Linked DNA regions of Macaca fascicularis. The protein of the gene in region 2 purifies or fractionates together with the protein of the main gene of each other region. This does not show direct contact. Links are inferred from orthologs where the notes say so. Each region holds a gene or a part of one and is shown on either strand. Other genes may lie near its edges. The genes, in order: ADNP, CBX5, SENP7, EHMT2, CHAMP1, methyl-CpG-binding domain protein 1 and MECP2.

Region 1 (3,500 bases), on a different chromosome or scaffold from region 2:
GTAGAATTTATAATCTACCTGTATAACAACAGATGTAACATAGCTCCGTTCCAGCCCCAAATTCCTTAAAGGTTCTAATCTATTCTTGCACTTCTTCCTGTACTGTTGTTGAGAAGCTTAACATTTTAGGGAGAGGCTGGTCAAATCTCTACTCTCTGGTAACAGCATTAACAAGAGTCTTTTGGAAAGGGACTCAGAAGTTATGGACATCAGCCACTTCAGACTTCTTTACACCAGTATCCTTGACAGATGACTGACCAGCCTCCTCATGGACTGGAGCATCCCATCATTGTTTTAATTGCTGGAAATGTTGGCCTAATTCTGCTTCCTTGTAACTTTCTGCTTTTTAGTACAAGTTGCTCTTGGGAATCTATGCACGGTAAAAATACCAGCTCCTTCCATCTTTACAGCCCTGTAAGTGTGTGCTCTTCAAAGCCTTTCCCTTAATAGCAAGATGGCCAAGAGTGGCAACAGAGGCAGAGCTGCCTACACTACAATTGTTCCCATTGTAAGGTGAAAACGAACACTTAACTTCATCTACAAGGGAAAAAAAAAAAACCCATCAAGGCTATTAAGATTCTGCTTGCAAATTAATGCCAATCCATGTTTACATTTTTTTTTTTAAATCACTGAGACATTTACATATATATCCAGGCTCTGCTCCTTAACAAAAGGTGAACTGAAAAACTCAAGGGTGTTTATTTTTCAGTTAAAAGAGAAAAACAAAAAACAAAAACGCAAAACAGATTTTGTACCAGGTGCCTCAAGAGAAAGCATTCTTTATGCAGATGACAGATCTTGGGTTTTCCACAAGTTTCCTCTGTGACTGTGGCTGCCATCTCTGATGAAAGAGTTATGGCATTAAATGGCAAAAGATATAATGGACACACAGAACTGTCATGGGTAATAAAGCAAATATTTACATTAAGCACAATACAGCAATTTATTTAGATGCTTAAAATGAATACAAAGGGAAATAAAGATCACAAAATTATACATACTACAACAGTGTGTCATATATTAGATGGTATAAATGAATGCACCATGATGGTGTTGAACTAAAGATAAAACTAAATATCCAAAATGCAGCACTCATTGGTTTGCTGCTTCAACACAACACACTTTTATACAGATCTAAAAGGTGTCAAAATTAGTAGCTGCAAAGTCAATTCTTGCATGTGATTTTAGCTTAAAAGATTTCAGAAAACAGATCTGAAATACCAGTTTTTGTTTTTGACAGCTGTAATGTCAAGGATATTCAGAACAAGAAAAATCCTATAATACAAGAGAGTCCAGATATATATCTTACGTGGCTGGCCTCTGTTGCAAGATTGTACAAGGTTATGTGCAAAAACTAAGTCTGTCCAAAAGTCCATACTAGCGCAGTTTTGAGCTTTTGCTAGGTAAACTAGATATAGCGTTTATTACACAGCAAGGGCAACACTAAAAAAAGAAATCTATGATGGGCACACAGTAACAGTATCATGAGCATCACTTGAATAGGTCTAAAAGACTGTACAAATATACATTTCAACTATTCAGAATGAATACATGAAAAAAAAATCGCTTTTCCCAAAGTCTACTATACACATTAGACTGGTAGCTTGTATGTTGGCCCTACACTACCATGTGAATTAGGTTAACGCTTCTCAAAGACATCTGACCAATCATTTCACAGAGGGAAAGAAATGTTGAAAAGGCAGATAAAATAAACCTCTGCTTTTCCTCGTATGTATTCATGAGCCACCAGCTTATTGGTTTTTCACATTTAGTTACCGTGTCTGTCAGAGAAGGTTCTGAAGCAAGATCAGCCTGTCGTGTCATAGACTTAGAAATAACCACTGGAACTGCAGCGGCCACATGCCCCACAGTCCAACCAGTACTCACAAGGCAGTACCAGTGAGAAGACAGCTTTGCAGTCACACTGAATGGAGATCAGAGTTCCAGGCTGCAGCATGTCACCAATGCCAAGGAACCTGGCACTTAGGCCTGTTGGCTGCTCAGTTTAACTCCAGCTAAGCTGCCATGCATGGGCTCAGCTACTCCGTCAGTCATGTTGTCAAACTGTTCCCCATCCTCACTGTCAATTGTGCTATTCTGCCACTCAATCTGGGGGTTAGATAAGCGCTCATCATTCTCAGCTGCATTCTTCCACTGTGACTGGTCCTTAGACCAAAACCCTTCAACTTTTCCATAGGAACTATTCTTCCATTTCAACTGCTCTCTGTCACCTTGCATGGTAGCCTTTTTTTTGGCAGCTGGCTTACTGCTCCTTGCATCTTCACTTTGGGAAGACTCATCAGACCAGGTTCCTGGTTTCATTTCACAGGTATTGTCCTCAAAGTCTGACACTTGTTGGGATCCAGGCCCACTCTCAGATGGAGAAGCTCCGTCTTTCCACTCAACAACATCGTCTTGGTCAACCTCACTATCAGAAGCATTGTGCATTAGTTTGGTTGGTTCCTCAGTCAAATGAATAGTTTCGTATTTTGAACCATCCTCCTCTTTTTGGTCTAGCTTCTCCTCAGATTCTAAAGCATCCTCAGGAATTACCTTCAGTACATGTTCCTCTGGGTTACTGTTAGAGATTTTAGGCTCAACCTCAAAAACAGGGTCAAAAGGGCTACCACTTTCATTGGATTCTTCTTCCAAATTTCCAAAACTGTCTGAGGAACTGTCATCTTCTTTCCCAAGGTTAAGCTTTTTGTCAGCAGTCTTACTTGCGTTGACTCTGGAATCCTTCTCATCATGATTTTCAAATAGCCACTCAGCATCAAAATCCATCTCATGCTTGACTTTATTTAATTCTTTCATGTTAAACCCCAGCAACACGCCAGGCTTGTACTTTTCACAATCACGGACACATTTCTTCCTTTTGTTACTAAAATGGGAAGCAATGTCACTCTTCCATAACCATAAACTGGCTGCTAGCTTCTCAATTTCTCTCCTGGTGGGATAGGGCTGTTTGTTGAAATACTTTGTTAGAAAGCTTTTCCTGGCTTCATAGGAATCATCTTCATGACCCTTGGGGTCTAAAGCTAAAACAACAGGCTCTTCAGGCTTCTCCTCAAAGAAGCTGGGTGAATCACTATCATCATCTAACTTTCGTTTTTTCAGTAAGGGAAATTCCATTTGCTCATAAGTGCGCTTCACAGGTGCCAGGCTTGGAGACTGATTAAGCCGAGAGGGTGCATTTGTCTTATCCTGGCCATTTTGGGTCTTTCCAACACCCCTGCAGTGAACTAGATGCAGAGTGATAGTCGAGGCGGTCATGTTGCTGGTATACACACCAAGGCAATGGATACATTTGTAGGTGAGCTTTTTCTCAACTGGATGAACCGTCTGAATAACCTGGTGCCTCTCTCGTAAGTGATGTGCAAGTGCATCAGATATGGGTCCTTTTAGGATTGAAAAGCAAAGAGGACAAAGGGTTTTCCCAACATCTTTTTTATAGGGCACTGCAGCTTGAGGTGAACTTTTAACAGGGATATCTGCCTTTT
Region 2 (3,500 bases):
TTGTTTTGTTTACTGCTGTGTCTTCTAACTCTTAGGAAGAGTGCGGGAGGGGGAAGAAAAAGACAAAGATGCTCATGATTCCTAAGGAAATAAACCAAAGATGTCTATCTCTACAGAGTACCAAAGCCTGGGGGAAAAAAGGAACTTACTCAGAAAAGCCTTTCCACTTCAGTAGATATTCCACTTGTCCCTTAACTACACGCCTGTCTAGCACCTTCTCCACAACGTACTCCTCCTCATCCTCTGAAGAAGAACTGTCAGCTGTCCGCTTGGTTTTCTTTCCCATGTCGCACACCGTTCCACCTGAAAGACTAAGGCCACCGGGTCCCTGTAAAGGCAAAGGACAAAATAGTTAGAATCCATGTGAAGAGTTAAAAACTTTGTCTCTTCTTGATGGGACGAAAAGGGGATAACACCAAGTTGCCATGTGCCCTGCTCTTGAGTCTCAAATCATTCTACAGATGAGTCCTAAGAATTTAATTTAAAAATGAATCAGTCTTCACTTCCTCAACCACAACCTTCTCTTCGGCTAAAGAGACCAAAATTATTAGAAGGCGCAATTGTCTAACTCTTCTTTCAGATTCCAAAAGACAAGTAGTGTGGTATGTTATTCCTGGCTATGTTTATAACTATTTACAAGCCAGGAACTCAAACAGAAATGTGCAAAATCTTCAGTTAAATGAACCAAGATAAAATTAAAACCTTTTTCTCCAAAGTGAATAAGGGTCTTTATAAAAATGAAAAAAGAAAAGCCACTAAAATATGAGTTTTCTGTGCTCTGAGCATCTTGCCCAGTCTCTCACCAGCACAAAAAAAAGGCTTGCTCAGGCATCTTTCACCACATTTTCAGTGACTTGGTACATTTCCCTTAAACAAATTGAGCTTGTCCCTTCAGAGCATCCATCAGCTCACAAAAGCAAGGCTGACATCTCAAACACACTAAGCTTCCTTTTTAGAAAGCTAATTTGGGGATGGGAGGGAGGCAGAAAGGAGAAAAAATTTTCAGTCCTAAAATTCAAAATTAGTCACTAGATTGTTGAGTAATTCCCAAGATGTAACTAATCCAAATAGTTAAGAAGGTACCTCTCCTCTTAACTGAAGTTGACTCAGGGCCAAAGGAAGAGGAGGAGGAAAAAGAAGTCTGGCCCCAGACTCAGCATCAACATGAAGCCTCCTCAAAATACAGAGGAACCATTCATAGGCCCAAGGAAAGCTGAAGCAAGGAAACACAAATGGAAATTGAGTTAAGCTCAGAAATATGCACACCAGGGGGTACTCAACAGAGAATCTAGTTTTAAAAATTCCCATGTTGCTCTTCCACAATCATTTTTAAGAATTCTTCCTTAACCATGCTAAATGGCGCCTACAGTCTGGATTACAGAGTAGCAGAAATTGTTTTCTTAGCTGAACTCCATTTTTGTTTTCCTGTAATCTTTAAAGATGTTTATCAGCACCCTCTAAATATTTCCACCCTGACCAGAAAACCACCGGGTCAGGGAGGGCCCACTACTAATCTCACAATGATGTTCAAGTCACACAAAAAGTGGCAATTATCAATTCACTTCAAATTAGCAAAACTTTAAAAATTATTACAAGAATGTATAGTTGGAAACCATATCCCCAGAACTTATTAGCAATAGGTCTCCCCACCTAAAACACTGCCTATACCCATTACTGCCCTATAAGACTAAGTTTTTATTAAAATACTCTATTTGGAAGAAGTAGTAGGAAAATGTAGGTGCGGGGGGCGGTTAAAATAATTTTTCCATGAATTTAGAAGAGTCCTAAGCTTCAAGAAAATATTTTATGTGGTTTATTTAAAATGAAACAGCCTCCAACCTCACCAGAGACAGGAAATGTCATATTCCAGGGAGAGTACCCCACCCCCACCCCCACTCACCTTGGAATTTCCGGGAGCTGAGCAGTTTAGGTCAGAGCGCTGGGGTTAAAACCAGCCCCATGTTAGATGCATGCAGTTAAGCATTGTGGCTATGGCCTCCCCTGCCTCACCAGGAAAAACAAGGATTTACATGTGTTCTTCATTTTGAGGGAGAGAAAAGAAAAATCTCCCTTTATACCTTCATGCAGAAGAGGAGCCCCAAAGGTAGAAAATGAATGGGGGTTCCCTCCTTTACCTACCGGATCGCCCCAGTTCTTTCTTTCCCTCTGGGCTAACAGGAGGGGCCTCCCCTCCCAGGTCTGGGTCTTGGCGGGCTGGCAGCTCCCCCGCCCCCACCCAGCTGCCTGGGCGCCACTGCGCAGCTGTCCCAGTCCGTTGCCATAGCAACTGGCAGCAGTACTACACTAAGGGGGAGAAGCAAATGGAAAAGTTAAAAGGCTTAACTTTCCTTTTCAGTGAAGACTGGGTGGAGAAGTTGGAAGGTACCTCTCTTGGCCTCAAGGCTAAGGCATTCAGAGCTCAAGGGAATTACTTCTTAGGTTTTAAATCCAGTATTTATGCTTATTCCTCTAACAGCACTGTAAATTAATCAATAGCATTTTAAGATCATCTAACAAGATTACAGCTCAACTGAAGGGGGGAGGGGAAAGGCTCGATCCTTCTACAATACGATCAGTACAAACCACCCATCACTTAATACAGCCCACCAGAGCACTTCGGGCAACCCCATTTTACCATCTGTCACAGAACAGTTAATTAAAATTGCTTGAGGGGAAAAATAACAGGAAACAGGGGAAGGGAAGTATTTTAAAGACACTATATAACTTTCCTTCTTTGGGGTGATTACTAGAGATAAAATCCAAAGACACGAAGCACTACCAAAACAACAACCCAAAAAAAAAAAAATCTTTTAACTAAAATTACAGGTGGAGCGCCGGGCGCAGCGGCTCATGCCTGCAATCCCACAACTTTGGGAGGACGGGGCAGGGCAATCATTTGAGGTCAGGTGTTCGAGACTAGCCCGACCAACATGGTGAAACCCCGTCTCTACTAAAAATACAAAAAAATTAACCAGGCGCGGTGGCAGGCGCATATAGTCCCAGTTACTCAGGGGGCTGAGGGAGGAGAATCGCTTGAACCCGGGAGGCGGAGGTTGCAGTGAGCCAAGATCGTGCCACTGCACTCCAGCCTGGGCGACAAGAGTGAGACTGTCTCAAAAAAATAAAATAAAATTTAGGTGGAAAAAAATTCCTAAGAAGTTTAAAAAAAAAAAAAAAGGAGAGCGGTTCTGCCACAACCTAATGGTTGATAAATTAAAACCACTTCTAGGTTGTTCTATAATGTTATGAAACAGATTTTTAAATAATTATTCATCACCTGATACATTATTAATGTACAACTCTCTGTATCAGTATGTCCCAATTCTTGAGAAAAGGAGTACTGGGATAAATAAAAAAGACATACAGAGACTTGAAATACTGTAAGTTTTCCATTCTTCTGGCTCTAAAGAACATTTTTGAGAGCTTCAAAACTACTCTGCTTTATAGATATGGGAACTTTAAAGCCAGAAGTGGCTGCCATAGGAGAGTAAGAAAAAGGG
Region 3 (2,889 bases), on a different chromosome or scaffold from region 2:
TTTTTTTTTTTTAAACACTCGGGGAAACGTCCTGTGGGGTTGCAATTTGCGATTTCCTGGTTAAGCTTAACATCATTGAAACAGTAGTGATTCTTGAAGCCATAAGTCAGCTATTTCTTACACCGAAAGAAGGCACTTGGCAGGATTTTCCATTTTTAATCTGAGATTTTTCATTAACTACTAAGGCTTTCTCTTTAATATTTCAAAATCTTAACATGTTGGGAAAAGTTGTGATAAAACCAACTTCATTCTGAATCATTCTTTATTTACCAATTCTGTTTGTGCTCATTCACTTAAACATACATTGTAGCAGAACAGAGTATTTAATTTTGATATTTAGAAGTTAGCAATTTGGTAAAAATGTTCTAAAATTGATTGTGGAAGTGGTTACACTGTGAATATACTAAAAATGCTCAATTGTATGCTATTGGTGAATTGTATTATGTGAATTATATCTTAATATAATTGTTATTTTAAAAAAGTTAGCAATTTGTCATTTCTTATAAAAATGAAGTTAAAACAAATTTGAAATTATGCTGCTAAAGTGATTGCACTCTTTTTTTCCTCTCATTAGGATCCTATTGTTAATTTTGAACTTCCAATTCATTTGGAGAAATGGTTTCCTCGTCATGTAATAAAGACCAAACGGGAAGATATTCGAGAGCTCATCTTGAAACTTCATTTACAGCAACAGAAGGGCAGCAGTAGCTAGTTAATCTGTACAAACATGACACAGATGTTCTCTAAGATTACTGGAAAGCCTCTTACTAGCATTTGTGTTAGCCAGCTCACAGAGAAGAAAATAACTTGCAGTAGTTTTATAATAAGTCATTGGAACATTATTTAAAATACATAGGATATATTATTAGAATTGTTGGGATCTTATAAATGGAGTGGGAATGGGGGTGATACAGATAAACTTATTAGATATAAATTAAAATTTTATAAATATTTCATATTTTTCTGAGTAAATATGCTTGGATTATGCAATAGCATATGTAATATGGAAATGTTTTGTAGATAATAAAACTTACATGATCTGTATGTACTTCCACATGACTGGGTGTTGAGGGGAGTGAAAGCCTCCCTGGTGCCAGCCCCAGTGCTTGTCAAATTTGTTGGCAAGTCACATCATATTGTAATTCTATTCTTTGCAGCTCAAGCATGCAGTATGAATACTGTGTATTTTTTAAAAAAGAATTTAGTATCAAGGCTTCAGAAAATGCCATTTATGGCATCCCTTCTGTATGTAACAAAAAGACATTCTTAATGTTAGGAAGATTATAAAAATTCGCTCTTTTAAAGTGCAGCTTATTATTCTCAATTGCTAAATGCGATTACTCTGCTCTCTTTTTTTTTCATTTCTTTTGATGTCATATGTGAGCATCCTATAATTTAGTTCATTTGTTCAGGGTAAAATCTGAAACAAAAAATTTTACCTGTGCAAAATAGTTTTTTAAAAATTATCCATGTAGCTCAACTTGAGGTACTGCTATATAAATATTCACTCTTACATTATCACGGAATTTATGTATAGTTTCTGTAATATAGAAGATAAAATTGATGTCCTCATAACTTTAACAAAGAAAACCCTCAGTCCTATTTATTAATGGTTAGAATTAAATATATAATTTTATAGCTCAATTTACCCAGTATTCATTTGCAAAGCCAGATTGCTCTTACTGCTTTTATATTTTTAAATTGTAGCTTTTAGAGACCTATGATCCTCATGGAACTTAATTTTTTATTAAATATTCAGGTAACAGTTCTGAATTCATGTGATAATGGTGGCATTGTGTATGATTAAGCACTTCAGAACTTTCTAATGTTATCAGGAGTATTTTGAGGGAGATATGATTATATTGTATTTTCTCAGATAAGAAAAATGTTTTTTAACAATATTATTTTAATCTGTTTTAAGCATCTCTTAGATTTACATTATAACTATGTAAAGCAGTGAAGCAAAGGCAATTTAAGATAAAGCTAGAAAGTCTGAACATTTTATTTCAAAATCATATGAATTGAGGTTGTCACTTAAGCCTCAGTATTCTTAGCTTTTGATTTTGTCGCTATCTTTGTATTATTAAAGATATTTGTCTTTTGGATATTTCATATAAAGATGGCTATAATTACATATTTCATTCCCAATTTGTGTGTGTTGGGGGGTACTTTTAAAGGTGACTATTGTTTTGTACATCTAATTTTGGGAAAGCAAGTCTATAAGTCATCTTGTGATTTCTTAATGTTTTTGTTTGTATGTTTTTCAAAGATACCACTGTCCTTTATCATGTTTTGAAGATTGTTTAAAATTCGTTTTCCTAAATTAATGTGCAAATAATGTTTTGAGGATATCAGTGTTTTATATTAAACATATTTCCAATTCATTAAATTGAGGTGTAATTTTTTTCCTCAAGAAACATGAGTTACTGTTAGAAATAAATTTCCAGTTGTATGCTGCTCTGTGTATATCGTGAAATTGATGCTTATATTAATTTTTCCTCATAGTTTAATAAGCATATAGTTTGAGTGTCATTTCAGTTCAGGGAAAGTATTTTAACATCTACTACTAGCAGGCATTTTGCTAGGCACAAAAAGTGAATGATAGCTTTTGTTCCTGAGTCATTTATGGACATGTGAACATTTTAAATATTTTCTGGTAAGAACAACCATAGAGTTGCTTTGGGAATGCAGGAGGGAGCTCAGCCTAGAGGGGGTGTGTGTGTGTGTGTGTGTGTGTGTTAGTGAGGCGGTAGAGAGACAGAGAGCTGTTAGTGAACAAAGCAAGCCTTCCTCGAGAAGATAATATTATTTTAAATTCACAGCTCCTAGGATGTTACCAAAAAAAAAAAAAAAAAAAAAAAGAAAAAATTAGCCAGGCGTGGTGGCGGG
Region 4 (3,500 bases), on a different chromosome or scaffold from region 2:
GCCATGGGGCATTCTACCTGTCTGCCCCACTGGTCACTCACCGCCGTGCAGAAGTAGCCGCAGCCCGGGCAGCAGTGGTGTTTGACCATGCGGGCGCGGTGGGTCTCACAGAGCACCATCAGGGCCACGCGGCTGGATGGCCTCATGGTCTCCCGCTTGAGGATGGCGGCATTGCAGCCTGACAGCTGTGCGTGGTGAGGATGGGTGAGAAGAAAGGGTGAGGCTGGGGCCCGGGACTGGACGCCCTGGCACCTCTCCCACCAGCCCACGGCCCCACCTCTCCGTCCACACTCTCGGTGGCCATGCACTTGTGCCCCGCCCTCTCGCTGATACGGTCGATTTTGGGTGCCTCCATGCGGCAGCTGCACAGGGGCAACTCCTCAAACCCTCGCTCTGTCTCCAGCGAAGATGTGTCATTGGACACCCCTTGGACGGAGAAAAAGAGGAGCTGAGGGAGGCCCTGAACTTCACCCATTGGGACCCCTGGCGGGTCCTGTCACTCCCTCCCTACCTCACCCCCATGCCCCAGAACCCCTAAAGCCTGGCCATGGACACCCCGGCTCTGGCGTGGTTCCCCTCCTTCCCTTTCCCTCCTGCCCTGAGGTTGCCCCCTAGTGGCTCCCTGTCCCGGCAATTGGCAATTACCAGCGTGGTTGGGGGAGAGGGTCCCCTCGCTGGGCAGCTCCAGGGACCCCAGAGGGACCTCCATGTACTCACTGGGGCCTGAGGAGCCCACACCATTCACTCCTGACACAGAGACAGAGAGAGTGAGAGTGCGAGCTCACAGGTGCCTGGACGCGTGGGTACATGCAGGTGGACATGCGAGAGCGTGTGTGTGCGTGCACACACTCTGGGGGCTGGGCGGGGGCTGGAGGAGGGCACCCAAAAGCAGCAGAGCCTCCTTACCTCGTGGCTCCTTGGCCCGCGGAGGCTCCCGCTTGCGCCGTTTCCGAGATGGCTTCACCCATGGGCTGTCTTTTCGCCACTTCTTCTTGGCCTTGCGCCGGCCACTGGAACCACTCTGGGAAGGGGGAGGAGGAGGAGTTACGAACCCTCACCCCAAGGGGGCCCCCCAACACCTTCAGGACCAGACCACCAGCCCCACAGTCTCCCACTCCTCTGGAGATATCAGCCTCCGTCTCTTACCCTATCTGACTGATTCCCTGACTCCTCATCTTCCTCTTCTTCTTCCTCTTCCTCCTCCTCTTCCTCCTCTTCTTCTTCCTCCTCTTCTTCCTCCTCCTCTTCACTTAGTTGTTCAGTTAGAGCTTCAACTTCAGACTGGGAGAGAGGCAGAACAGGACATATCCAATCCCCAGGACTCAGACAATGAGATAGATTAAAAAAACCACCACCACCATTGCCCCCCGCCACTACCCACAGATGGCTGCTGGGGAAGATGAGTGTGGGTAGGAGAGGAGAAAAAGGGCCACATAAAGAGAGGGTGCATGGACTATTACACAGTAGTGAAAAAGGTGCCACAGTTATAGACAGCAATGTACACAGATCTTGGTAATGTGACATTAAATTAAAAAACAAAAAACAAGTACCAGAAGATAAACATAGTTTGATCCCCCTTTTATGATGTTCATAAACAGGCAAGACCACCAATGGTTGCTAAAAACACTAGACATGAAGCTCATGAGAAATTTTATATGAAATGTTCAGGCTGCCATCACCTGAACCCACTGGTCAATCTTATCACTAAGAAAAATGACCATATGAGATGTTCCATGCATCCTGATGTGATGTGGCCAGAAGCACTTGCACCCACTGTCAAGTCTTCTTGGCACCTGAAGTCGATTACGCCTCTAGATCTACCAGTTTACAAGAAATATGGGCAGAGAGGATGTGTCAATCTCTACCCAAACAGCCAACGTCATACAGAATGTGAAAAATTCTATACAACTGACCTGGTTTGACAAATAAATGGCAAGAAAAAAATGTCTTTCTTATTTATTTATTGAGTTTCGCTCTTGTTGCCCAGGCTGCAGTGCAATAGTGTGATCTCAGCTCACTGCAACCTCCACCTCTGGGTTCAAGCAATTCTCCTGCCTCAGCCTCCCAAGTAGCTGGGATTACAGGTGCCTGCGACCACACCCAGCTAAGTTTTGTATTTTTATTAGGGATGGGTTTTCACCATGTTGGCCAGGCTGGTCTCCTGACCTCAGGTGACCCACCTGCCTCCCAAAGTGCTGGGATTACAAGCGTGAGCCACCACGCCTGGCCAGAAATTTTTTTTTTAGAAGATGGGGAAACCAGGCAGGTGTGGTGGCTCATGCTTGTAATTCCAGTGCTTTGGGAGGCTGAGGTGGGCAGATCACAAGATCAGGAGTTTGAGACCAGCCTGGCCAACATAGTGAAATCCTGTCTCTACTAAAAATACGAAAAATGAGCTGGGTGTGGTGGCGGGTGCCTATAATTCCAGCTACTTGGGAGACTGAGACAGGAGAATTGCTTGAACTCAGGAGGCGGAGCTTGCAGTGAGCCAAGATCGTGCCACTGCACTCCAGCCTGGGCCACAGTGTGAGACTCCATCTCAAAACACAAAAACAAACAAACAAACAAACAAACAAAAAGAAGATGGGGAAACCTAAATACCAAGAGAGACCTAAGACAAATTTTTTTTTTTTTTGAGATGGTATTTTGCTCTTGTTGCCCAGGCTGGAGTGCAATGGCACGATCTTGGCTCACTGCAACCTCCGCCTTCCAGGTTCAAGTGATTCTCCTGCCTCAGCCTCCTGAGTAGCTGGGATTACAGGCATGCACCACCACGCCCAGCTAATTTTGTATTTTTTTAGTAGAGACGGGGTTTCTCCATGTTGGTCAGGCTGGTCTCGAACTCCTGACCTCATGTGATCCGCCCGCCTCGGCCTCCCAAAGTGCTGGGATTACAGGCGTGAGTCACCACGCCCGGCCGACCTAAGACAAATGTTAATCAAATCAAGGTGCGGGCCTCATTTGGATCTTGACAAAAACCCATTTATGAGAGCTGAGGAAATGTGAAGACTGACAGGATATTTGATGGTATTAAGAAATCAGTAGGCCAGGCGCGGTGGCTCAAGCCTGTAATCCCAGCACTTTGGGAGGCCGAGACGGGCAGATGACGAGGTCAGGAGATCGAGACCATCCTGGCTAAAACGGTGAAACCCCGTCTCTACTAAAAAATACAAAAAACTAGCCGGGCGAGGTGGCAGGCGCCTGTAGTCCCAGCTACTCGGGAGGCTGAGGCAGGAGAATGGCTTGAACCCGGGAGGCGGAGCTTGCAGTGAGCTGAGATCCGGCCCCTGCACTCCAGCCTGGGCAACAGAGCAAGACTCCGTCTCAAAAAAAAAAAAAAAAAAAAAAAAAGAAATCAGTAATTTTTTTTAGGTGTGAAAACAGTAGTGTAGTGATGTTGAACGACAAAAAGAGGCCTTATATTTTTATATATATATATGGAAATACATTTACGTAAAATGATACAAGGTCTGGGACTTGCTTTAAAATAACCTAGTACG
Region 5 (2,481 bases), on a different chromosome or scaffold from region 2:
GCAACCTGGGTGACAGAGCAAGGATCGGTCTCAAAATAAAAAAAAAGAGAGAGAGATTTGACACAGAGCCAAACCACATCACTAAATATTGTTAAGATATCCCAACGGGCATATTAGTAGGGAAGCCAGCCAGTGGGGAACTAGGACAAAACTGTTCATTGTTAAAAAAAAGTCTGGGAATAGCTAAATTAAACCCAGTACAGCATCTCAATCCTGGCTACACATCAGAATCCTCTGAGATTAAATGCCTCACACTGTTCAGAGGCAGGCAGGATAGGCAACCACTGGAATTAAAAAACCTTTCATACGAAAGGATGAGATTTTTCACATGGAGTCCTCCCTATACAAGCATTCCCCTAACTTACCTGACCACAGAACTTGGAGAAAACACAGCTAAGAAAATGCTGCTCCAGATAAGAAAATTCCTATGTTGAAAACATGGAAATAATGGATTTCTATATCATACATGCAAATTACACAAAAGAAAACACACATGAAAATGTTGCTGACACGAAAGCCTTTCTTTTTTAATTTGGTTGATACACATTTGACAAAATACTTTAGAATAAAATAATCCATGAACAGGTACAAGGTATTTACAGTAACAGAACTGAAAAACATAAAATCGATATATTTCTTTAACAGAAATGTCTATAAAATTTTCTACTGTGAACCTGGAAGACTTTCAGTTCCTACTTATTAACCTGGTCTTAAGCCCCAACAGGCGACATGTAAGGCCCAGGAGTAGGACATACAAACTCTAACACATTTGGCAATTAAGAATCATCTATTAGTGTGAGCTGGCGGGTGGGGGCTGGGATGGGGATGGGGAGGGAAGAACCAGATCTTAGGGTAAGATATAGAATGGAAGACTCCACTGAAAACAACTATGGACAAAAAAGATCTAAAATCACACTTATCGTTCCACTTGTCTCCTGTGGGAGAAGGCTGCAAACTATTTTAAAGACTTACTCAATTTTTCCCATTAGCAGACAATCAGCAACCCTGAGACTCCAACATTTCATGACATAAAAGCTAATAAACATCTAGAAGCTGATTAAGATTTATAAACTAATTTTACATCAGATAGAAAATAACTCTTATGATTTAAAAATACATGTGAGGAAACAAAATTTCTCAAATTTATTTTTCATGCCTAATTCTTAAACATTTCAACTAATATTTTCTATTATCTGAAATTAGTTCCACACACAGATTAACTGAATGCTTTGAGTACAACTTGCTCTTGATTATTAAATGGAATGCCTACTTCCTTGTTTTATTATTCATACATATTTAAAAGAAATGAGAAGTTTAATCCATCTGGACTATATAGAAATTGATTGACTTACAAGATAGCCACATAGACAGAGACCAGAAAAAAATAATCAAATGCTCATTCTTAGTAACACAACTGAGACAGTGAAACACGGTACACCACATGTCATCTACATATCCAACTAGGCTATTTGATAAGCTATACTTACAAAGAATGGTTTCAACGAACACCTTTGTAGAACAAATATTCATACTGAGCTATCAAATTTGCTGCTCCTCCAGTGGCGGTTCAAGAGCTTCCATTAGCTTTTTATTTGCCTCTTCATTATGCCGGCTTTGACAATGAGTTAAATGTTTCTTAAAACCTCGTGGGAAATTTGATTCAAAATTACAACGTGGACATTTAAGTAAACTCTGCCCATGGGCTGCTACATGATTTTTAAGGAGAGATTCCAAAAGAAAAGCCTTTCCACAAATTGTGCATTTGTAAGGGCTATGAACATTATGCTTATTAACCAAATGATGCAAAACAGCACCTTTTTTCATAGCACGACAGCAACAAATTTTGCAATAATACTTTCCTTTTCCACGCTTCATATATTTTGCAATCTCCTCTTCAGAGATAAAAGCTTCTTTTTCTTCAGTAAACTGTAGCACATTTCTAGACTGCTCTGGACTAGTCATGTCCATTTTGTTCTCTTTGCTAAAATCAATGGATTCCACATCAACCTGCTCTTGATCACTGCTTGATTCCTGGCCCTTAACATCCACCACATCCAAATCTGTTTTTATGTACTCACTACTACTAAGCTCAGCATCTGAGCTCTCTTGGTTGTCTTTCTTGAGCTTCTTTGAGGAAGGAAATAAAGTATCTTCCAAAAGTTTCTTAGGTGAAGCTAGAAGTTCTTCCTGAACCAAAAGATCACATTTTTGATCATCTATGGCATCTATTTGTAGTTCATCACCAAGCTCAACAGCCTTCTGTGATTCTGAGAATAGAGCAGATTTGGGGAGTTCAGGGAAAAGGGCATGCTTCCGGGGCTCTGGAAAAAGGGCACGTTTGCGTGGTTCTGGAGAAGCTGGAGGGGCTGTTTTGGCAGGCTCGGGAAACAGGGCAGGTTTTCTAGGCTCAGTATCAATAGAGAGAACTGGCTTCCAGATATCTGAGGCTGCTTTGGGGGACTCAGATGGCCCAGAAGAACC
Region 6 (4,222 bases), on a different chromosome or scaffold from region 2:
CTCATTAGTTATGGTAGATATGTTCTACAAAGTTGCCATGAACATTGAATACAAAACCATTGCTCCTAGAGGAAATACAGGGTTAGGTTCCTGAGAGCATCTGAATTTCTGTTTTGTGCGTGTTTCTGTTTAAATACACATTACTTAATATATATTTTTTACAAATGATTATTTGCATGGTCTTTGAATGACTCAAACCAGGGGCTTTGGAGGCCATATGTGTTCTGTAGGTTTGTTTGCCAATATTTTTGTTTAACAAGCCAATCCCATTGGCATTGAAAACCACTCTTCTACACAACCCCTTTCCTATAAAACACTTAAAAGGTATTTTTAAAACTCTTCGGAAGACTCCTGATCGGGAGAACCTGCATTGCATGCAAGTTTAACATTTTTCATGCCATGTTGCCTTTTGAAATGTGCAAGTCAGCCAGCACTAGCTGATACAACCTTAATATTTTCCTAACCCAGGGTAACGTGACTTTGGCTTTCCTCAACAATGCTGTCCACTATGCTTTATTGATCGTCATTTCATGAATCCACCAACGTAGCTGCTTTCTCATCTCTTCCATAGCTTCAAGACTATAAATGCTTTCTGTATTTTCTGAAGCAGCCTTGTGCACATATTGGCAAATTTCCTTCTTTTTCTGGTTGTACCATAATTCTGATGCATAACATTGAACTTACAGCCAACAGCATTGTAACTCAGATAACCAACAAGGTTTATCTGCCTTGTATTTTCTCCGTAAGGCACGACATGGCCTTCTCACACTCAGAACACTAAACAGCACCTCAGCACTACGCTTGAGGACTATTTTAAAAAGCAAAATCACCAACAAAACATACAAAAATTAGAAAAATGTGACACTAAACAGACCACGAAAAGGTCACTTGTTTACGGTATTAAAGCTGAAATAAAAAGGGCTCCTTCAGTCTCAGCTAGAAACACATGCATTGAGTGACAGTTTTTCACTGCTCTGTGCATGTCCTTCAATAATCACAAATGCACTGTGAGTAGTGACTTTTAAGTTACAAATACTGTATTAAGTAGGTGAAATTGCAAACACAAAATCCGCTAATAACGATTAACTGTTTGTGCATAATTTAAACTCCATCCATAAATTTAACCGCACTATTTGATTTTACCCTAATGAGGCTCTACCCCACCCCCACTCTGCCCACAACCCACCCAGTACCTCTGGTAATAGGTGTCTGAGCGTCCACAGGTGGCCCCTGACTTGCGAAAGACTTCACGGCGCTTCCAGCCAGGGCCCAGGGCCGGGCAGTCCAGCCAGTCCTCAGCCATGGAGGCCACAGAAAGCAGCAGTAGCCTGAAAGGGGGTTGAGGGGATGAGGGAAACTGAGGCTCTAGGAAGGGACAAAATGTGCCCCAGGCCACACAAATCACTGGTATCCATTAGTGCTTGCCCAAGACCTAGGACCTGCCGCAGGCAACCAGCCCATATATGGAGAAGAAACCCCTCATATTCTCACCCCATTCTTTCCTATTCTGGGCCTAGGAGATCCTCATTCCTCAACCCAAGGATCCCTGTTTATTATTCTTAGTGTCCTAATCCCCTACTCCTCTCTATCCTCAGACTGACAGCCCATCATTTCTCCTCACTGCCAATTCAGAAACTTTTCATCTTCCCCCCTCATTCCTCCCTGTCACTGACCTAAGGGCCTCTATCCCTCTATTTTATCACCACAAGACCCCCATACTTCCCATCCTCAGCCCCAAAGGGCCCCATTTCTCTTGCCCTCACTACTTGGCTTCAGTAGTCTCTCATTCCCCCCTTCCCCGACCCAGGAGTTCCTAATTTCCTTCCTTCAGTGTTTTAACCATTCCATTCCGTCTCTGCCTGATGTCCTCTTATCTTGCTACCTCAGTGTTACAACCTCGACTTCCTCTGCGAGACACAACTGCTCCAACCCATGACCCGAACAGCCCCTCATCTTTTCCATTTCTCACACACTGGAAGCCTCCCATGCCTCCCCTTCCTCAGCCAAGAGCTCCCCCCTTACTTTTCTTCTCCTTCAATGTTCTGGCCCACAATTTCTCCCCAGTCTCAGCCCCCAAACCTTCCTGTTTCTCTCCTCTACATCCAAAAAGTTCCCCACTTCTCCCTCTCACTGTTCTCATTCTCCATTCCTCCCTTATCCTGAGAGACCCTAATTTCTCCCCTCAGCATTCCGAACCCTCCCCCATTCTCTGTTCTTGTCCTGGGATCATGCCATCCCTAACTGTCAGCGTTCTGATCCCCTACTGCTCCTCGTCCTCTATATGGGGCCTCCCATTCCTCCCTTTCAGCATTCCAACGCCTCCATTTCTCCTGTCATCAGCCTGAGGGCCCCTCATTTCTCCCGCTCGGAGTTCTGAACCCCCATTTCTCTCTCAACTTCAGATGCCCTGATGTCTCCCTTTAGCGTTCTGATCTCCACCATTCCTCTCCGTCCTCGTCCCAGGATCCCGACACTCCTACCTGTCAGAGTTCTGAGCTCCATTCCTTCCTGTCCTCAGCCTAAATTCCCCTGTTTCTCCTCGTCAGTATTCCGACGCCGCCATTCCTCCCCCTCATCGGCCTGAGGGCCCTTGATTCCTCCCCGTCAGCGTTCTCAGCCACAATTCCTTCCTATCCTCCGCCTGAGCACTCTCCACGTCCAGCCCCAAGGCTGTCTCACCAGTTTGGCACCAGGCTGGTATCTTCCGCCACTCTAGGCCCGTGGACCCATGGCTAGGGTCCCTCCTGCGCCTCCCGCCTCGCCCTCCTCCCCTTCTTCCTCCTCCGCGGCCGCCTCCTCTGAAGCGGTAGCTGTCGCCTCCGCGGCTGTTCGTTGCTCCCGGAACCGGAAGTCCGCTGCCTTCCTCTCGGGCTCCGCCTCTGGCTAAGCACCTGCGCGCTATTGCCTCGACGTCGCGTGCCCTTAATAGGGAGGCTCCCGCGCCTGCGGGCTGGCGCTCTGCAGCGGGGCGCGCGCCCCCCGGCCGAAAACCAGTTGCATCTGCGTGCTGACGTTCAACGACAGCTCGTGCCCCATCGAAGGAGGGACCTGCAGTCGGGGCTGTGCTCGCTGACCATCTAGCTTGCGCATGCGCTCTCCAGTCTCAAACTGAAGGGAAGTCGTCGGGGAGGGCTTGCGCCTGCGCCCTCCCTTCCCTCCCGCGGTCTCCGAGGCGGATACCCACAGCGGCGAGGAAGCTGCTTCGCGCCTGCGCACTCCCTGACCCAGCCGGCGCTCTCTTCTCCCATCTCTCGCTGGGGTCTATCCTGTGCTCGCCGGTCCCTCCGAACATCAACCCCAGGGCGGTCGTGTCCCGCTCCCTCCTCCCCGCCGAACAGGTGCTGGAGCGCGCGGGGCGGGGAAAGGGGCGGTGACGCACCGCAGGTAAACTGAGGCACGCGGGAGGGCGCGCCCCTGCAGGAGGCGAATCCCCAACGTGGGGCTTGTTGGGAAAAGGCGGGGCCTGGCGTCCACAGTGGAGGACAGCTCTGGGTGGGAGACAGGAGCACGCGTGGGCGGTGTCACCACACTGAATACGTGCTGCGTAGACCCTCTGCCTGTGGGAGGCTGGGAATGTGGGTCCCTGGGCCCTCCCGGGGTGCAGGCGCCCCCCATCTTATCCAGGAGTCTGGAACAGTTGCAACCGCAGCAATGTGGACACAGCTTCCTTGGTTTCTTCAAAATTTTATTAACAAAACCCAGGGAGAGGAGGCAAGGATGAGTGGACTCCGCAGCCCCACCAGGCACTGAACATGTCGACGGGGACAGACCCTCTGATAAAGGCAGACGGGCGGTCAACCGGTGGATGGGCACAGGGAGAACCAGAGAAACAGATGAGTGGAGGAACGGACACATGGGCACCGGGCAGCTCCCCCATCTGGAATGCAGGGTGTGAGGGGTCCGGGCCAGAAGGCTCAGCGGTCGGCACTGGAGCGCAGGTCGGTAGTGAGGGGATCGTGCTGGATTGTCTGGTGCAGCATCAAGGCCAGCAATCCCGCGCGGTTTGTCATGGCTGTGCGCACATTGCGCTCCTGCTCAAACAGCTCGTCCAGCTTGTACCACTGCCAAGAGAGCGGCAGGAGTCCTAAGCAGGAACAACTGAAGCCCCGCCTGCCCTCGGCCACGTCCGGCATGGAAACCTACCACATGCACCATGAAACCACAGCGAAACCTACCACACGCACGCGCTCCAAGTCCACTTCCGCACGCCGCAGCTTCTCCC
Region 7 (4,278 bases), on a different chromosome or scaffold from region 2:
CTTCTCATTTCATCTCCACATGGGAGGAATGTTCCAGAGGGGGTAACAGCCTATTAAACTCATCTAGCCAGTTTTTTTGTTTATTTTTTTTTCAAACTCCACAGCTTGCCTCCCTACTCCACTAGATGAGATTGCACAGAGGCAGGGCAGGCACGGGAAATGACTCTGGTTGGAAATTACAAACATATACACACAGAATGTAAGCACCATAACCCTTTGAATACACAGTGGTTTGTGCCTTGCCCCAGACCTACCTAAGTATTAAACAGCACAAAAGTCGGAGTTCTGCTGACTGTATGACACTCTCCTATCAATCGGGTAAAACAAAGACCCAGTACTCTAAGCTTAAAGCATTCCAGGTTAAATTTTAGTAACAGGCAATAGGAAGGTGTGATAGGCCAGTGCTAACAAGAAAGTCATAGATGGTTTCTTTGAGCTGTTAGGACACTGGAAAGGGCTGGTATGGAAGCCCTATGGAGCCATTAGGACAATGGAAAGGGGGGTACCCCTCCACCCGGCACTTTGAAGAGAAAACTATACTATGGAAGCTGCCTGCACTGTTGAAAGGGCTAGGTGTATGATAAACAGCTAACTGGAGGGGAACCCGAGGAGACAAACTGCCAACTATGAAGAACAAAGCAGAGACCTCAACTTGTCATGTCTCAAGCTCAGATGTACAAACTTTGGGATCGTCAAGTGAGGCTCCTGTGTCTGCCTGGGGATATGACTGTATTCCAGTGATCAGCCACCTAGCTGACCTGCCACGAATGGGTGACCTGTGGTGACTTATTTTAATCAATTGTACTACTTCTAGATTGATTGGGTGATTTAAGGTTCTGACATATTCACGTAAGAAAATAAAAGCAAGTGCTTCCTACACTTCCTGACTGGGATTTAAAATAGAAATCCTGAAAAGCCCATAAATAAGCCTATTTCCCTAAATCCTTGGTGGAAATTCCCAAAAGATTAAAAAATCCAGACCCTATCTTATTATAGGGACCCAGCAGATTTCAAAAGACTCAAGAGGTCAGCTTAATCTGGTTATTAACTGAAATTGCTGAGATACAGATGAACATTCCAGCCACGGAACCCAAAATTCTCTAGAGTAATAATTACCTATTAGTGCAACGTTACTACCGAGGCCGTATATGCTTTTTACAGTATAACAAAATGCCTAAAACTTATGAGAGTCCTACAACGTCTAAGTCACTCAGTATCACATCCAAGTAGGTATGGTTCCTGGATCACCAACCAACCCATGAATTCGATCCTGTTATCTCAGTTTGGGGTACTGATCCCGCACAGCAGAGACACAACGTGTGCAAGGCTCGGCAGAGCCCATTCCTGTTCCTGGAAAAATAACCAGAAGCACACATCTGTCTGACCATGAGTCAGGAATATCAATTTTGTGGTGGAGCCCATTTCTGCTGTGACCAACCCACACCCGAACACACTCACAACAGAAGTCACCGCCACAGAGCAATTCCAGAATGAGCTTTTTCCCCCTTGGGGTCCATACTTAGCAATGTCATAAACGGTCTCCCCTGCGAGAGCAATCCTTTTAAACTCTTCATAATGACCTTAAGTCTTTAGTGCAAAACCACAGAAACATTGCCACTGCCATATAAAAGTCATCTGAGTTTCAGTTTGGGTGATTCGGTCATAACCAAACTGAACAGAGAATAACCTTTCAGGCACAATGAACAGGAGCCACAGCGTCGCGATGAACTTGCTCCATCTGGTACCGGTGATCCCGAGCGCTCCAGGGCGATGAGAGCCCGTTACCTACTATGTCCCACTCCACTTATGTAACTGGAAGATCGCCGGCGAAGGGGAGGGTAAGATGGGAGGGTGCTCACATTCCGAGGCCACAGCACTCCAAAGAACCTCTGAGCACCCTGGGGACACGCTCGCACCTTAGAGCCTCAGGCGCCGAAGAGCCTCGGGTGCTGCTGGACGCACAGTCCCCTACTCACGGCTCCTGATGGGAACTATAACCACCTCTTTATGATGAGTTGTGGGACCCAGAACACAATGTCTAGTCCTTTTGTGGACAATAATCCCCACCTCCTTGTTCCTGCTAGATGGGGAAAGGAGCCGGTGGACCTACTCGCTCGCGTGGGGGTGGGGGGGCAGAAATTCATGGAATGGGCGAGAAGGAGGGGGAGGCAAAGCCCAGAGATGGGGGTGAGAGCTCAGGAGCCCTTGTGGCGCACTCTCCCGACGGGAGGCGAAGTGCGCACGCGCGCCGGTGGGGGGGGCCAAGTAACGGGAGAGGGGGCGCGCGAGGGAGGAGAGGGGAGAGCGCGATCCAGGGAGAGGCCGGGGCCGCGGGCGCGCGACGGCGCCGCGGCCCAAAGCCCCGAGCAGGGCAGGAGCGCGCGCAGCCCCGACAGGCGAAGCCCCGGCGACAGGGGCGCCCGCGGGGCCGGGGGCCGGGATGCGCGCCGAGGGCGGAAGGAAGAGGGGCGTCAGGCGAAGGCGGCTCCAGGGAGGCCGCGCCGAGGACGGTCACCCGCGAGCACGGGTGACGGGCCGAAGGGAGAGTCGCCACCGGCGGCGGCGGGAGGGGGAGGGTAGAGAGGAGGGACGCCATCCGCCAGCCGTGTCGTCCGACCCCGCGGGCCCCTCCCGCGCCACGTCCCGCCCCTGACCCCCGCCCCCCGGCAAGGGTCCCCGCCCGCGGCCACGGCGGTCCCACTCACAGTCTCTCCTCCTCGCCTCCTCCTCCTCCTCCGCTCGGCGCGGCGGCGGCGGCGGCGGCCATTTTCCGGACGGCTTTTACCACAGCCCTCTCTCCGAGAGGAGGGAGCGCGCGCGCCGCCGACGCCGGGACCCCGCACGGTCGACGTCGCGCCCCGCCCTCCCGGCCGGCCCGCGCGCTGCTGCACCTGCGCGCCCGCGCCCCGCCCCCGGCGCCGCTGCGAGCCCGCCCGCCATTGGCTGTGATGGCCGGGCTGGGGCGGGGGGGCGGTCACAGCGGCGATGCCGTCAATTGGCGAGATTTCTTGTCCATTTCGGCCAGGGAAAAGGAGGCGGTCCCCTCCAGCTGTTGATTGGCTGCTTTCGGCCGACGTTTGGGGAAAAGAGGCGGCTTGGGCGCGGAGGGGCTGGTTTAGTGGGCGGAATTTGAATGTTAAGGATTAATGGACCCTTGCGGATGCTGGGGCAAGTGAAGGCCCAGGCTCGGGACGCCTGTTTGCGCGGCCCTGAGGGGCGATTGACCCTCTGTCCACAGATGCACCGAGTGCGCTGCAATAAGCGTTTCACTGCACCCGCAGTTTCTCAATATCACCATTTTCAGCAGAAGCAGCAAAGTTACCCGCCCTGGAGCCTGACGTTGCCCCAGCTGAGGGGCCTTGGTTTCAGAGGCCTACTCAATGCATTATTTCATCTGAGCCTGCCCGGTGGTCACGTTCTCGTAGGGGTGGGGAATAAACTGACAACAAATCCCAACCCTGGCCTTCGCAGAACTCTGGCGGGGGAAGAGAGTGCATGCCAAGGCCTCGTGACACCTGTCATTGTTGGATCAGATGGTTTGGTGGAGGTGTGAATAAGGGGCAATGTTAGCTCTGCCTGAAAGATGTGATTTGGGAGCTGAGATCCAGCAATTGTTCACTTTCCTAGAAAAATGGATTTGGAGCTGAGATCCAGCAATTGTGTTTTGGGAAAATATGAGAAAAGTGTTAGCTAACCAGGTGTTCAGGACAGGAGTGTTTGTTAAGGGGACCTTACCCTGATGCCAGTCATTATCCAATCCATTCAGTGATCCTTCTGTTAGTTCTATGCTTAGCAAGAAAACCTGATTCTGATTTGGCTGCCTGCCCCCATTCATTTATTGACTACCTGCTATGTGCCAGGCACTCTTCCAGGCTCTGGATGCATGGTACTGAACAGACAGCATACTAAGATTCTTGCCGGGAAGATTCATACTAGCATACACATAAGTATAATGTATCATTTCACATAGTGACAGGGGCTTTGAGAAAGATAGAGTAAGAGTAAAGGGGGTGCTATTTAGGTATCTATGGGTTTTCATCCTCATTTTACTCCCTCATTTGAATATCTGGGGAAAGAACATTCCAGGCAAGTTCAAAGGCCATGAGGAGAGACTATGCCTGGCATGTTGGGGACTAACAAGGAGGTCAGTGTTGCTGGAGAGTGGTAGGGAATGTGATTGGAAAGGCAGCCGGGGCCACTATGAAAACTGGGAGTTCATTCTTTTTTGGGGGGGTGGGGGATGGGGTCTCATTCTGTAGCCCAGGCTGCAGTGCAGTG

Evidence for each region.
Region 1: the proteins of CBX5 (region 2) and ADNP purify together in Homo sapiens (affinity purification with mass spectrometry; 4 studies listed by BioGRID and IntAct, with this or other methods). This does not show direct contact. The link is inferred for Macaca fascicularis from reciprocal best matches to the Homo sapiens genes CBX5 and ADNP.
Region 3: the proteins of CBX5 (region 2) and SENP7 purify together in Homo sapiens (affinity purification with mass spectrometry; 3 studies listed by BioGRID and IntAct, with this or other methods). This does not show direct contact. The link is inferred for Macaca fascicularis from reciprocal best matches to the Homo sapiens genes CBX5 and SENP7.
Region 4: the proteins of CBX5 (region 2) and EHMT2 purify together in Homo sapiens (affinity purification with mass spectrometry; 3 studies listed by BioGRID and IntAct, with this or other methods). This does not show direct contact. The link is inferred for Macaca fascicularis from reciprocal best matches to the Homo sapiens genes CBX5 and EHMT2.
Region 5: the proteins of CBX5 (region 2) and CHAMP1 purify together in Homo sapiens (affinity purification with mass spectrometry; 6 studies listed by BioGRID and IntAct, with this or other methods). This does not show direct contact. The link is inferred for Macaca fascicularis from reciprocal best matches to the Homo sapiens genes CBX5 and CHAMP1.
Region 6: the proteins of CBX5 (region 2) and methyl-CpG-binding domain protein 1 purify together in Homo sapiens (affinity purification with western blotting; 3 studies listed by BioGRID and IntAct, with this or other methods). This does not show direct contact. The link is inferred for Macaca fascicularis from reciprocal best matches to the Homo sapiens genes CBX5 and MBD1.
Region 7: the proteins of CBX5 (region 2) and MECP2 purify together in Homo sapiens (affinity purification with western blotting; 3 studies listed by BioGRID, with this or other methods). This does not show direct contact. The link is inferred for Macaca fascicularis from reciprocal best matches to the Homo sapiens genes CBX5 and MECP2.

What each region holds. Positions count from the first base shown.
Region 1 is NC_088384.1:106,991,695-106,995,194, forward strand, and holds part of ADNP (activity-dependent neuroprotector homeobox protein), read right to left. Parts: coding exon 1,984-3,500; 3' UTR 1-1,983.
Region 2 is NC_088385.1:61,102,426-61,105,925, forward strand, and holds part of CBX5 (chromobox protein homolog 5), read right to left. Parts: intron 2,235-3,500; exon of another isoform or gene 1,901-2,234; intron 329-1,900; 5' UTR 287-328; coding exon 150-286; intron 1-149. UniProt on the Homo sapiens protein: Component of heterochromatin that recognizes and binds histone H3 tails methylated at 'Lys-9' (H3K9me), leading to epigenetic repression. In contrast, it is excluded from chromatin when 'Tyr-41' of histone H3 is phosphorylated (H3Y41ph).
Region 3 is NC_088376.1:181,716,245-181,719,133, forward strand, and holds the end of SENP7 (sentrin-specific protease 7), read left to right. Parts: intron 1-574; coding exon 575-712; 3' UTR 713-2,389; downstream 2,390-2,889. UniProt on the Homo sapiens protein: Protease that acts as a positive regulator of the cGAS-STING pathway by catalyzing desumoylation of CGAS. Desumoylation of CGAS promotes DNA-binding activity of CGAS, subsequent oligomerization and activation.
Region 4 is NC_088378.1:139,819,338-139,822,837, reverse strand, and holds part of EHMT2 (histone-lysine N-methyltransferase EHMT2), read right to left. Parts: intron 1,282-3,500; coding exon 1,147-1,281; intron 1,022-1,146; coding exon 907-1,021; intron 748-906; coding exon 646-747; intron 427-645; coding exon 278-426; intron 186-277; coding exon 42-185; intron 1-41. UniProt on the Homo sapiens protein: Histone methyltransferase that specifically mono- and dimethylates 'Lys-9' of histone H3 (H3K9me1 and H3K9me2, respectively) in euchromatin.
Region 5 is NC_088391.1:104,574,774-104,577,254, reverse strand, and holds the end of CHAMP1 (chromosome alignment-maintaining phosphoprotein 1), read right to left. Parts: coding exon 1,540-2,481; 3' UTR 501-1,539; downstream 1-500. UniProt on the Homo sapiens protein: Required for proper alignment of chromosomes at metaphase and their accurate segregation during mitosis. Involved in the maintenance of spindle microtubules attachment to the kinetochore during sister chromatid biorientation.
Region 6 is NC_088392.1:39,461,057-39,465,278, reverse strand, and holds the start of methyl-CpG-binding domain protein 1, read right to left. Parts: upstream 2,801-4,222; 5' UTR 2,680-2,800; intron 1,329-2,679; 5' UTR 1,304-1,328; coding exon 1,194-1,303; intron 1-1,193. Other genes in the region: CXXC1 (CXXC-type zinc finger protein 1), read right to left, coding at 3,915-4,061, 4,176-4,222. UniProt on the Homo sapiens protein: Transcriptional repressor that binds CpG islands in promoters where the DNA is methylated at position 5 of cytosine within CpG dinucleotides. Binding is abolished by the presence of 7-mG that is produced by DNA damage by methylmethanesulfonate (MMS).
Region 7 is NC_088395.1:160,165,549-160,169,826, forward strand, and holds the start of MECP2 (methyl-CpG-binding protein 2), read right to left. Parts: upstream 2,801-4,278; 5' UTR 2,768-2,800; coding exon 2,706-2,767; intron 1-2,705. UniProt on the Homo sapiens protein: Chromosomal protein that binds to methylated DNA. It can bind specifically to a single methyl-CpG pair. It is not influenced by sequences flanking the methyl-CpGs.